3 linked regions of the Drosophila melanogaster genome follow. Changing the gene in region 3 together with the main gene of any one other region gives a genetic interaction. Each region holds a gene or a part of one and is shown on either strand. Other genes may lie near its edges.

Evidence for each region. A genetic interaction does not mean that the proteins touch.
Region 1: of Prosbeta6 (region 3) and not, changing one enhances a phenotype caused by changing the other (phenotypic enhancement), as found in Drosophila melanogaster (one study listed by BioGRID).
Region 2: of Prosbeta6 (region 3) and Tpi, changing one suppresses a phenotype caused by changing the other (phenotypic suppression), as found in Drosophila melanogaster (one study listed by BioGRID).

The regions. Positions count from the first base shown.
Region 1 is NT_037436.4:18,618,295-18,623,958, reverse strand, and holds not (non-stop), read left to right. Parts: upstream 1-1,829; 5' UTR 1,830-1,846; coding exon 1,847-2,587; intron 2,588-3,126; coding exon 3,127-3,528; intron 3,529-3,589; coding exon 3,590-3,700; intron 3,701-3,767; coding exon 3,768-4,582; intron 4,583-4,751; coding exon 4,752-4,794; 3' UTR 4,795-5,153; downstream 5,154-5,664. Other genes in the region: bora (aurora borealis), read right to left, coding at 1-836, 895-1,172. UniProt on the Drosophila melanogaster protein: Histone deubiquitinating component of the transcription regulatory histone acetylation (HAT) complex SAGA. Catalyzes the deubiquitination of histone H2B, thereby acting as a coactivator in a large subset of genes.
Region 2 is NT_033777.3:30,132,470-30,136,335, forward strand, and holds Tpi (triose phosphate isomerase), read right to left. Parts: upstream 2,131-3,866; 5' UTR 2,065-2,130; coding exon 1,810-2,064; exon of another isoform or gene 1,626-1,809; coding exon 1,041-1,625; intron 980-1,040; coding exon 773-979; 3' UTR 512-772; downstream 1-511. Other genes in the region: AdoR (adenosine receptor), read right to left, coding at 2,806-3,866.
Region 3 is NT_037436.4:16,608,851-16,612,087, forward strand, and holds Prosbeta6 (proteasome beta6 subunit), read right to left. Parts: upstream 1,569-3,237; 5' UTR 1,469-1,568; coding exon 1,380-1,468; intron 1,305-1,379; coding exon 686-1,304; 3' UTR 550-685; downstream 1-549. Other genes in the region: CG4098 (uncharacterized protein), read right to left, coding at 1-357; Su(P) (suppressor of ref(2)P sterility), read right to left, coding at 1,888-1,979, 2,042-2,448, 2,513-3,237. UniProt on the Drosophila melanogaster protein: Non-catalytic component of the proteasome, a multicatalytic proteinase complex which is characterized by its ability to cleave peptides with Arg, Phe, Tyr, Leu, and Glu adjacent to the leaving group at neutral or slightly basic pH.

The sequences.
Region 1 (5,664 bases), 2.0 Mb from region 3:
GCGAGGAACTCCTGTCTGGCGTGAACTTCAATGCCGTGCGCTCTGACAACGTGTCGTGCTGCTCCGTAACGCTGATCTCTACCTTGGAGTGCACCAATCTCCGACTGAGATGCTCCGACGGGGCAATGGGCGACGGCAGCTCCAGCTCGTGCATTAGAAGTTTCCTCTTTCCCGAGCAAGTACCATTATCGGGCGTGCCAGGCGGCAGTCCGCATAGGTTTCTAATGGGTGAAAGGCAGCCGAAGCTACTTTCCCCGGATGCGGAATCCGACAGTCTGCCAGCGAACATTGTTTGCTTGCCCTGCGGACTGGAGCCCACCATGGACCTCGATGGCTCTGCCGTGTCCTGTTCGCCCAAAACAATGACATTGTGCAGATCGAAGAGTTTCCGGCGCATGGAACTATTAAAGATGTCGGGACCACCACTTGACTTGCTCCTGCCAGACAAGCGGCCAGCCAAATGTGGCTGGAAGTACGGACGCAGGGCATCCTCTAGGGCTTTTGGCAATATCGGCGGCAAAGTAAGTTCCGTTTGCACCTCGCAATCCCGCATCCTTCGCGACTTATTCGATATGGGAGTGTTGTCCTCGCTGCAATTGAGTATTATGCGCTGTTTTCGCAATGGGCAATCCACCGGACTGGGCACAATGAGTGACTCCTTGAAAAAGGCACTGATGGCCAACTGGGCCTTGGATTCCTGCTCGGGATCGGGGGAATCGTGGAACTGGGTTTCATGGGGCTCCACGTCGGCGGGTTTTAGTTGGGAGACCTCGTCAATGTTCCACTCGAACTGGGTGGACGAGAGTTGGGGTGTCCGCGAGCGGAAAAGTGAGGGGCTGCCAGGAAAAGAGAGGGTCGCGTTAAGAGGATTTTTCGAGCAGACGAAAAACTCACCTGGCGATCAGTGGCAGGTGTAAACGATCGGCCATCGCTCCTTCGAAGGGATTCCGCACCTTGTGCAGCCTTTTCGGGGGCGGGGTGCACACATTTCCCGACATCTGGGGGCTGTATTTTCCATTTTCTTTGCCGCCATTCGTTGGCGTTGCCGACGCCGCCGACGAGTTGCTGCTGTTCGAGTGGCTGTTACGGCGCGCCCGGCACTTCAATCCGTTCACATTTGTAATGTATCGATTCTTGAGGGCTTGCGGCGTTCGCACCTCGTCGTTGTACATCTTTTTCAGTCACTAAGTCGCCTAATTTCGACTTAAAATAAAACAAGCGCGCCTGCTGCGACTCGCAGGCAGATGTCGGTATTTTCAAATGCAGCAGTGTTGTATAGCGATGCAGCGGAGTTATCGAATCGTTGGCAATTCGAAAAGCAGAATGCGAAAGTGAGGGATGTTCAAGGAAAAAAAGGTGCTAACGACTGATTTGTCACTTAATATTTATTTATTCGCATATCTAAAAGTGCCTGCAAATTATTTCGACTCCCGTCTAACTTTTAGTATTTTTATTTTGCGCGCCACCCGCTGCTTGCTGTCGATAACACATCAGCTGGGCGACTTTAACCGTTTTATAATAAAATGGGACCAGTCTAAAAATAAAGAATGGTTACTGGTATACAAAATTGTATCCCATTATAAACTTGAGGAATAAGTAGCTCGTAATTATCCGAATATGGATGCATTTCAATATTTGGGCTGCTAGAACCTTTTATTGTTCCTATAACCCGAATAGAGATTCCATTTCAATATAACTTTATCTTGAATGGTTTAGTTTACTTTCTATTTAAACTAATATTCCGTTTTAAATGTTTCAATACTCTTATATTAGAAAAATACCAATGCCAACATCTGAGTACGATTTCGCAACTGGTCACACTGACAGCTGTCTTCTACCAACACATATGCGCGCGTGTGTATGTGTTTGCGTGCAGTGCGAAATAGAAACAAGAAAAGCAAGCGAAAAATCACAGAAATTCACAAAAAAAAAGCCCAACTACTTCCAAAATTGGGCCGCCCGGCGAAGAACCGCAAAAGTGGCCAAAATTCGGCGAAAACAGCGCAAGTGTGACAAAGCATTCGTGCCGCTGCAGTCGTCGGCGAAACGGGCGAAAACAAAAGAGAATAGTGTTGATAGTAATACGAGCGTATTTAGCAGTAGCAGCAGCAGCAGCAGTGGCCGAAGCTTCGGCAGGGGAACGGAACGGTGGGCGGTGGGTGCAGAAGCGGGCCGGGGAACGGCCGAGAACGAAACACTAGCAGTAGCAGCAGCAGCAGCGACAACAACAAATGCCGGTCGCTTTATCACCGCCGATCTAATCAAAACAGTTAACAGCGACAAGCAGCGAGACAGAGTAGCAAAGGGCCACAGGGACGCGAAAAACCCCCTAGATGCCACCAAACATTTGCGCCTATCGGACTGCTTGCGTACCGTGCAAAAACTTGCTATTGAACTTGAGAGCGCCGACGCCGGCAGCGACGCCAGCGCCCAAGCCAACGCTAGCGCCGACGCCAGCAGCGCCGTCATGTCCGAGACGGGTTGTCGGCACTATCAAAGCTATGTGAAGGAGCACAGCTACGATACATTCCGGGTCATCGACGCCTACTTCGCTGCTTGCGTCAACAGAGATGCGCGCGAGCGAAAGGTGAGTTCAGTAGCGTGGAAGAGAGTGGGAGCTAGAATGAGTGCGCTACTGGCGTGGTGAGGTGAGAATGTGCGAGTGTGCGAAGGGGAGAACGCAATTACAATCAGAGGTGCGCCGTGAGTCACGTGAAAGGTCACTGACACCCCGGCTGTGGGATGACAGTGGCAGACAACGCACCGTTCTCACCACAAAGCAGTGCGGACTTTTTTGAATGGGTAAAGCATGCAACAGCTGTTTTAACAGCTGACAAATTGGCACTGTGAAAAATACTTTTGCATCGAAAAAGTTTTGTTTTCATTACGGTGAAATTACATATCAAGAAAAATATATTCAAAATATTTAATATTGTTACATGGCTTTTGTATTTTTAGCTTCATATTGATTATATATTATATTGCTTACGAGATTTAGAGTTTTCAAATTTTTGTTACACTTTTATGCATTTAGTATGGGACGTATTTTTTGTAAAGTTAATGGGATTAGAAAAAAAACGAATATAATTTTTTATCAGCTGCCATTTTAAAATCTACCTCCGCCAGGCTATTCACTGCAACTGCTTCGAGTGCGGCAGCTACGGCATCCAGTTGTACGCTTGCCTGCACTGCATCTACTTCGGATGTCGGGGGGCCCACATCACGAGTCACCTGCGATCCAAGAAGCACAATGTGGCCCTGGAGCTGTCCCACGGAACGCTCTACTGCTACGCCTGCAGAGATTTCATCTACGACGCGCGGAGTCGCGAGTATGCGCTGATCAACCGCAAGCTGGAGGCGAAGGATCTGCAGAAGAGCATCGGCTGGGTGCCGTGGGTTCCCACAACCAAGGAGACCAATCTGCTGCTGGCCAATGCGAGGCGTCGGCTGGTGAGGCCCAATCAAACGATCGGACTGAGGGGTCTGCTTAATCTGGGCGCCACTTGCTTCATGAACTGCATCGTCCAGGTGGGCAAATCCAATTAAACTGGCGAGTCTCCTCTCACTGACTTACTCCTGTCTCCTCTAGGCTCTGGTTCACACGCCCCTGCTCAGCGATTACTTTATGTCAGATCGTCACGACTGCGGCAGCAAGTCATCGCACAAATGTCTCGTTTGTGAAGTGTCACGTCTCTTCCAGGTGAGTTCAATATGCTGTGGTGTTTATGAGGAGTCTTTTCTATTCGATATGCTATCCCCCTTTGTAGGAGTTCTATTCCGGCTCCCGTTCGCCGCTGTCGCTGCACCGGCTACTGCATTTAATCTGGAACCATGCGAAGCACTTGGCCGGCTACGAGCAGCAGGATGCGCACGAGTTCTTCATCGCCACTCTGGACGTGCTGCATCGGCACTGCGTGAAGGCAAAGGCGGAGCACGAAAGCAAGAGCAACAGCTCTGGCTCGGGAAGTGGAACCAATTCCAGCAACTCGAGCAGCTCGCATTGCTACGGCCAGTGTAATTGCATCATTGACCAGATCTTCACGGGCATGCTGCAGAGCGATGTGGTGTGCCAGGCCTGCAACGGAGTGTCCACCACGTACGATCCGTTTTGGGACATTTCGCTGGACCTGGGCGAAACAACAACGCATGGTGGTGTTACTCCAAAAACGCTGATAGACTGCCTGGAGCGGTACACTCGGGCCGAGCATCTCGGATCGGCGGCCAAAATCAAGTGCTCTACCTGCAAATCCTACCAGGAGTCCACCAAACAGTTCAGCCTGCGCACTCTGCCCAGCGTGGTGTCGTTCCATTTGAAACGCTTCGAGCACTCAGCTCTGATCGATCGCAAGATCTCCTCGTTCATTCAATTCCCCGTGGAGTTCGACATGACGCCCTTTATGTCGGAGAAGAAGAACGCCTACGGCGACTTCCGGTTCTCTCTGTACGCCGTGGTCAATCATGTGGGCACCATCGACACCGGCCACTATACGGCGTATGTGCGGCACCAGAAGGACACGTGGGTCAAGTGCGATGATCATGTGATAACGATGGCATCGCTCAAGCAGGTGCTGGACAGCGAGGGGTAAGAATGACCAATATATTACAACTTTATCACCGCAAAAGCAGCATTCAATGTTAACTTACTTAAGTTGATTTCACGTCTTATCTTAAATTCATATACAACGTTATTTAGCTTTTTATTCGGATTATCAAATCATTATTAACTAACTACTTATTTTCACTTCTTTCAGTTATTTATTGTTCTACCATAAAAATGTGCTGGAATACGAGTAAGAAAATCCGCTGAGATCGATTAAAGCAGCGACTGCATCCCTCAAAAAACAAAAGCAGAAAACAGAAGTCAATGCATTACGAATTACGAATAAACACAAAATACAGACAAGGACGCGGCAGCGCTTACATATTAAGTAATATTAACACAAACACGAAAGCAATCCTACAATTTGAGGAGTGTTCATTTGATTCGATTGGGGTTATTCAAGCTCACAAACTCAAAACATTGGAACGAACAATGGAGAACAAAAAAAAAGGAAATTAATGAAAATGTAATCAATCTGAACACTCGATTTGTGGAGATACCCGTTTTGCTCTAAGTATTTCAAATCCATAATACTAAAAACAAAATCAAAAACAACAAGCAGATGACTTATACATTTATATTTAAAAATCAAACAAGGGATATTCTACAAACGCCGTATTACAAATGGAAAGCGAATTTTTATCATTTTTCTTGAAATGCCTTTTATTGAAAAAAAAAATGTTAAAAACTCATTTTCAGACACATCCGTTATAACTGAACCAAAATCCAAATCATGCTTATGAATGTCATGGATTTTTTTTATTTCGTCTTCATTTAAATAAGGAGAGCAATAATTGTAAATTTAAATACTTACATTTTTGGGGGCTTAGGAAACTGGGATTAAGATACATTGCAATTATTTAAAAAACAAAAAAAAATTACAACCGACGTCAACTTGGGCTCGTCCGGGAATTGAACCCGGGACCTCTCGCACCCGAAGCGAGAATCATACCTCTAGACCAACGAGCCTGCGGTACTGGGAGCGATCAGAATGACGCTTTTTAATGTGCGAGCCCTCTCACTCCATCGCTCTGCCTTGTGCTATGAGCAGGCTAAAAAGAGAC
Region 2 (3,866 bases), on a different chromosome or scaffold from region 3:
TTTGTTGATTTACTAACCATAAATTACTTACTAAGCTAAATAACTTATCAGCTACAAAGAAATTGCCTTGTTTAGCTCCATATTTGCCAAACTTTGTGCACAATCTTCGAACACTTCGATTAGAAATGAACTCTGAGTATAAGTATAAAGTATAATAAGTACAAACTGTTTTCCTTTCTTATCTCAAGTTAAGCTATCTTATGATGCATTGCTTCTTCTTGAAGGCTTTTATGCAAGATATTGTCAAAAACATGATGCAAATGATTTGATTCACTTGTTAGGTAAGTGAATACAATGATTGCCTCGATTACTCAGTTGGAACTCATATTCCAAATATTTGCCATTTCGCATGCTTATCAGAAATTAAGTAATAACTTGTTCGGTTTAAGGTCCGCAGAGGTGACACATATATGTACATATGTGCACACAACTTTGGACACCTTGTCGTTCAACCAATCGCTCTAAAAATAGCTGAAATAGTCTTGCAAAAAATAAGACACCTGTTTGGTTTGGTATATAAGTAAATGAGTAGCGCATAATTATTGCCTGAATAATTTAAGATTTACACAATGGACTACTATACGTTCAACAACAAGGATGTGAGTAGCATTCTCGCAAGGTAACTATGAATTTGGAACTGCACTTGGTGGTGACAACAACTAGGTGTGTGCGTAATGCATTCGCGCGCAGGAGTATGGAGTCCTGCCCTCCAGTGCCTCCTTCGCGGGCAGTTCGCTGGCCGAAAGCGATCTGATGCTTGAGATCGCGTTGCTTACTGCCGGGCGTTGATGATGTCCACGAACTCGGGCTTCAGGGAGGCGCCTCCGACCAGGAAGCCATCTATGTCGGGCTTCTTGGCCAGCTCCTTGGCGTTGGCGGCGGTCACGGATCCACCGTACTGGATGCGCAGGCTGGCGGACACCTCCTTGGAGATGTTGTCGCTCAGCCACTGGCGCAGGAAGGCGTGGACCTCTTGAGCCTGCAATTGGGAAGGGAAAATATCAGTTCTGGAAGAGATTAGCCTCTGCGGGCGACCTTACCTGATCGGGTGTGGCGGTCTGGCCGGTGCCAATGGCCCAGACGGGCTCGTAGGCCACCACCACGTTCTTCCAGTCCTTGATCTTCTGGGCGTAGGCGCACATTTGGCGGGCCACCACCTCGTTGGTCTTGCCGGCCTCGCGCTCCTCCAGGGTCTCACCAATGCAGGCGATGACCTTGAGGCCCTCGGCCAGGGCGTGCTCGGCCTTCTCGGCGATCAGGGCGTCCGATTCGCCGAAGATGGCGCGACGCTCCGAGTGTCCCAGGATCACCCAGTCGGCGCCGATGTCCTTCAGCATCGCAGGGGAGATCTCGCCGGTGAATGCGCCCTTGGCCACCTTGTAGGCATTCTGGCCGGCCAGACCCAGCTCGCAGGGCAGCAGGTTGCGGGCGTACATCAGGTAGATGGCCGGGCAGCCGATGACCACCTCCGTGTTGGGGTCGAGGGCGGCCGAGCTCAGGGTCTTGGCGATCTCGGCGATGGACTTCTGGTCGCCGTTCATCTTCCAGTTGCCTCCCACGCAGAACTTTCGGCTCATGTTGTTGCTGTTGCTGTCGGTGCAATCGGTGCTGAAATTGGCGTAGAACTGCGGATCGGGGGACAAAACAAGGGGACTGCTATTAGAGTGTTTGGAACTGATAATTTCAAGTGGGTAACTCGATGACTGGAGGCTCGCCGTCGACTTTTCCACTCAGATTTTTCCCAGATTCGAGATTAATCCCGGCACAGAGCACACACCCACCTCGAAGTTCGTCTGCTTATGTACTAACCTTCTTTTGACCTTCGTAAGTCTTCCACTGGCACTTGAAAAGCTTTGGGAAAACAGCTGTGAATTTGCCCAGCAGAGCTTCCGAAACGACGGCTTTTAGTACCTCCGCCGTAACACCACCCACAGTGGGTCGGTTCTGGTCCATGGTGGGGATGGTGTGGTGGTTCCGATGATACGGGAATCGCTGGAGAAGCGTTACTGATGCAATGCACTGGATACCGTTCCTGTTCAGATCATTGAGTACTCCAGGCGGCATTTCTATTGTGGTTACAATAGTAAGTAAGGAGTAGTAAAAGTTATTCTGAAATTATATAAACGGCTTGTTGGGGTTTTAAAAATGTTGCCGGTTTTAGATTTAGCAGTGACTCCAACCATCTGATGGGGAACTTTGAGCAAGTGAGCTCCAATAGTTTTGGCGTCGCTTCCAAAAAGCTCTGGAAAAGCTTTTATCAACAGGCTTGCCAAAATCCGCTATACTAGCATATGTAAAAGAAAAACTTGTATACCCTACCAATAGGCATACATCGCATCAGGACTTATTTAACCAACAAAAATAAAACACAACATGAATGTACATTCTGGTTTAATCGCTTTATTTAACTTCAACTTTGAAATTCATGTCGCATGGCTTAACTTGGTTTTCACAGACGTTCAGGTATACATAAGCTGACATATACACAGTAAATACTCTAACAACATTAAACATATGTATGTACATAATTAACTAGTCCGTAGAAACGTATTATGACCATACACTCAAAATAAATGCGCATAGCTCCTAATCTCTATATTTCACTACCGAACTAATTGATTTAGATCCGATATAGAATTTGACAACGTTTCCGAAAGAGAGCCTAAGAGAGCTGGAAAGTACTTAACGTAAAAGCTTTGACTTGCGAGTATTTCCTCAGGGGTCACCCCTTACCCCTTTCGCATCCTTGTGATCCTCTTCCAGTGGACTTTCCTGCTGATCCCGCTTCTTTTCCGACCGCGAAGGTCAACTCTCCGCGCTGGTCGCCAGAAGGGACGGCGAGGAGGTGGTCAGACCCACTGGAACCGATTCCTCCTGAGCCTGGCCCATGGGCGGTGGTGATGGAGTGGGCGTGGAGGCCGTGGACGACGCCGTCGATGAGGTGGGACGGGCGGCGTGAGGCTGGAGGAAGTGAAACAAGTTGGAATGCTGCATGAAACTGCCCACCGATCTCAGCGGACTAAAAAAGTTCTCTGTGGGATGGTTGGCTGGCTGCGGATGCTGTGGAAGTACAGAGGACTCCTGATCCCTGCAGAGATTACTGCTGGGCTCGTCGTGGACCCCTCGTCCCTTAGCGATGGAGCTACAGTTGCAGGATCGGCTCTTCTTCAGCGAACTCCGAGTGAATGCCGTGCCCTTTCGATACTTAGGCTTGTGCCCATTTGAGCCGGGACTCGCCTCACTATCGATCACAAAGATACCGGATTGCTCCTGGGGAGCAGGACTCGCCGTGGATCCTGGCAGGCAGTGAGCGCTATTGGAGTTGCCAGCAAGCAGTTTGGCCCTCAGAAGAGCCGGAAGTGGGCCATTTGTGGGAGATGTTTGAGTGGAGAGCGGTCTCTCCCTGGACTGTTCATCTATGGGAAGATCCTGATTGTTGCCCATTGGCCTGGAGTCCGTGTCATCCGATCGCAATTTCTCCCTCATGACCAAAGCCAGGGAGCGACGCAGTTCCACGGGATCTATGCCAGGCTGAACGGGATTTGGAACAGAGCTGGCCGGCACGAATACGTCCTCAAACTCCAGATCATCATCATCTTCGTCCTCATCCTGGCTGAAACTGTAGTTGTGGTTGTCATAGGAGGCGGACGGAACTGAGGGCTTCGCAGGAGCAGGAGGAGCTGGTGGGACTGTGGAACTGCTATTTCGTTCACTGCTGCGCTGGGAACCCGGAGCGGGGGAAGGGAACTCGTAGCTGGTTTCACCCAGCTCGGCGCCACTGGAGGCCTCCACTATGTTCCACATTTCTCGCTCGAGATCTGTGGTCACCGAAGCCACGGCGGCCACCGTTTGGTTGATGTTGTTGA
Region 3 (3,237 bases):
CTGCACGTTGTAGGCACCGTGAAAGGATTCGCGGTTTACCTGTCCATCCAGCTGATTCCACTGTGGCCAGAATGTGTCGCTGGGCAACGGCGGATCAGCCCACACCTGCCCGCCAATATGTGGCGCCGTGTACGCAGGCGGGCAGTAGTCCGGGAACGGCTCCGACCAGAAGACCTGTTCGTCGGAAACTGGGTACCGGAGGACTGAGCTGCGCGGATACATGTTGTTGCGGCACATTAGGTGCCGGAAAATGCCCGGCTTCACCAGCGATGACATCATTTGGGCGGAGGTTAGCGGGTTTTCCAGGATCAGTGGCAAAAACAGAAGCGGCAGCAGTGCAAACTCGAAACTCGTCATTGGACTGAATTCTCTGAGAGACGAACACTAAGAAATGATTTTGTTAACGCACACCAGCGGGCACAAACTTAGCTAGCAAAATGGATTTGTTGGTACGGGGAAAGCTGTACTATTCGCACAGCCTCTTCTGTGAGCACTGCTTGGGAACGATTTATTTCTAGGACCAGCTGGTCACACTAGGCCGCATATTTTAAATCTCAAAGATTCGGTTTATTACGATGTTTTGTTGTTTTGGGTAAATACAAAAATTTGAAGCCAACTAACTTAGAATGCCTGGTTTCCACCGAATGCCCCTAACCAAAAGAAACGGCAACATCCTCGCCACAGGCTAGTCCTGACGCAGCGTCAGAGTTCGTACTTCAATTCCATCTTTGGTTATGATGTTGATCAGCACAGAGTCGCCGGTGTAGATGTCGCGCTCAGCGGCAGAGATGAAGGTGTCGGAGGCAACGCTCACGGCCCGCTCCTTGGTTAACTTGATCTTGTCGGCGTCTTCCAAATTCATGTTCTTGTGACCAATCTGGTTGTCCAGCACCGGTTGCAGCAGGGTGCCGGCAGTGCCGCCGGCGCGGTATGTAGCCTTCTCGCAGTGACCGATGGGATCGTAGGAGTAGACGACGCCCTTGCCCTCGTTGTCAATTCCAGCCAGAATGTTCGACACGTAGTACGGGAAGAAGCGGCGATTGTACATGGCGATGGAGAGCATCTGGGCCACGGCCTCAGTGGTCATGGTGCGCAGATGGGTATGCTCGTAGCTCTGCATGCGCACCTTAATCGATCCGGTCAACGAGAGCGTGTCCGCCCAGCAGCCTGCGGAACCCAACACTGTCTGGGGCGAGAGTTTAAAGAGTTTACTCTGCGTTCGCGAGTGAATGTTGTAGCCGCTGCTCAGGCGGGTGTCCGCTGCAATTACGGCAAAGTCATCTCCGGCGATGGCCACAATGGAGCTGTAAACAGGGAAGACTCCGGTTAGATGGAGACATTCTTCCACATCTCGATTCCGCTGGGAAATAGCAACTCACCCGCCATTGGACTCGTAGGGCGAGAAATCAGGATGCTTCATGCCGGGCACCTGGTAGTCCGGGAATTGCTCAAAGCCCAATCTGCTCATGTTTTGTGCTGAAATTCACCAATTAACTCGCCAAGTAAAAAACCAACGAAATGATTTGCAAGTTTGCAAGCGGCTAACCAAAATCACAAAATCAATGTGACCGTTGTTGAGCATCGGATCCAGCCTGCTTAAACGTTATCGATAGGTATACATACGTCGGTTTGGGATATTTTTATTAGCAGGAGGTATTTATTTAGTAAACATTTTTAATTTAACATATAAATAAAATAACAATATAAAACCTAAAATTAATTCCAATTTGTACCATAAACTTGCACTCCTTACGCGTTTTTGACCAAATATATACATTCAGATACCATAAACGAAACGGCAAACTAGATTTGATTAAAATGTATATTTTAATGAACATTTCGGTTATTTTCAACAATCTTTGGATAAAATAAGGGCAAATATTTGTTTTAAGCTATAGCGGCCATGTTTTCAATACGTTCTCTTTGCAACTGCCCACGATTCTTCTCCACCAACGCCTTGACGTCATAAAACCATTTACCTGCGGAAATATGTAAAAAGTTCGTAAAAAGGTACAAAACCCGAGAAAGAAACCTTATTTACCGATGCTGGTGTTTTGCAGACAATCCTTGAACGTCTGACACCCCTCCATGCTTGAAAGCACGCCGAAAACCGATAGATCAGCCAGACTTGGCTGTTTTCCGCCCATGAATTTCGTGTTCCTCTTTTTCAGCTCAGTGGTCCACTGGTCAAGGGCATCGTACATGTGCGACCTGACGTCGTCGCTGAGGGCGTGACGGCGCTTCAGCATCTTGGCTATGGCCCACATGGCGGTGGCACCACAGTAAACCATCAGGTCGCGCTCCCATTTGGGGAAGTGAACGTCCCACTCGCCAGCTTGCGAGAACCACTCAAAAGTCTCTAGGGACTCGCCCATGGTCTGATAACAGTTGGGCGATATTAGATGCACCAAGTGGCTGTCGGCCCAGCTTCTCCACTTGCGATCGGTTCTAAGAACAGACACTCAAGGTTAAAAGATTTGATTAAAAGATTACTTGACCCTGGTTAACTTACTCATCCGTTTCCTTGGATACTCCCTTGGGCGTATGCTCGCGGTACATGAGGAAGTATTTATTCAATATGTCGTTCTTCTTTTTGCCATCATCGTCGAAGAAGGAGGTGTGCGGATAGAACTGTGCCAGCTCGCCGATGTCGGTGCGCTTGTCCTGCAGGTGGGTGGCTATAAGGGATATGATGGCACTTGAGTCCACCATCTGGACGTATTTGCCGTCCTGCTGTCGGATGAGCACCATCGGCACCTTCTTCACCGACGACCAGCGGATGTCCTGCCGTAGGACGGCATCCACTTCGACCACCGCATAGGATATGCCCATGTAGTCGAGGAAAGCGCGCACCTTGCAACAGAAGGGACACGTCTGGAACTGGAACAGCACAATGTCCAAACCGGACGTGTCCTTGGGGTTGACATAGCGCTTGGTTATCCGCACTCCAGCCGGAATCCCGTCCAGCCGCGTCGGCTTCGTCTCCTCGTGCTCTTTGTGCGAGCTGCCGTCTGTCCACCGCTGGTACATCGTATACACCGATCCGGTGGCCGCGCCTACGGTGGCCCCCAAAACTGCGAGCTTGAAAGTTCCATTCGGCTTCTTTCTGCCTCCGCCGTTTTCAACCGCTACAGCAAACTGGCGGCGTGCGAATGCAGCATCCGGATTCCGTTTAGTCAACAGGCGCAAGGCTCCACCTCCGCTTGCTGCCGGCGGGGGACGGACCCCTGCCAGAAC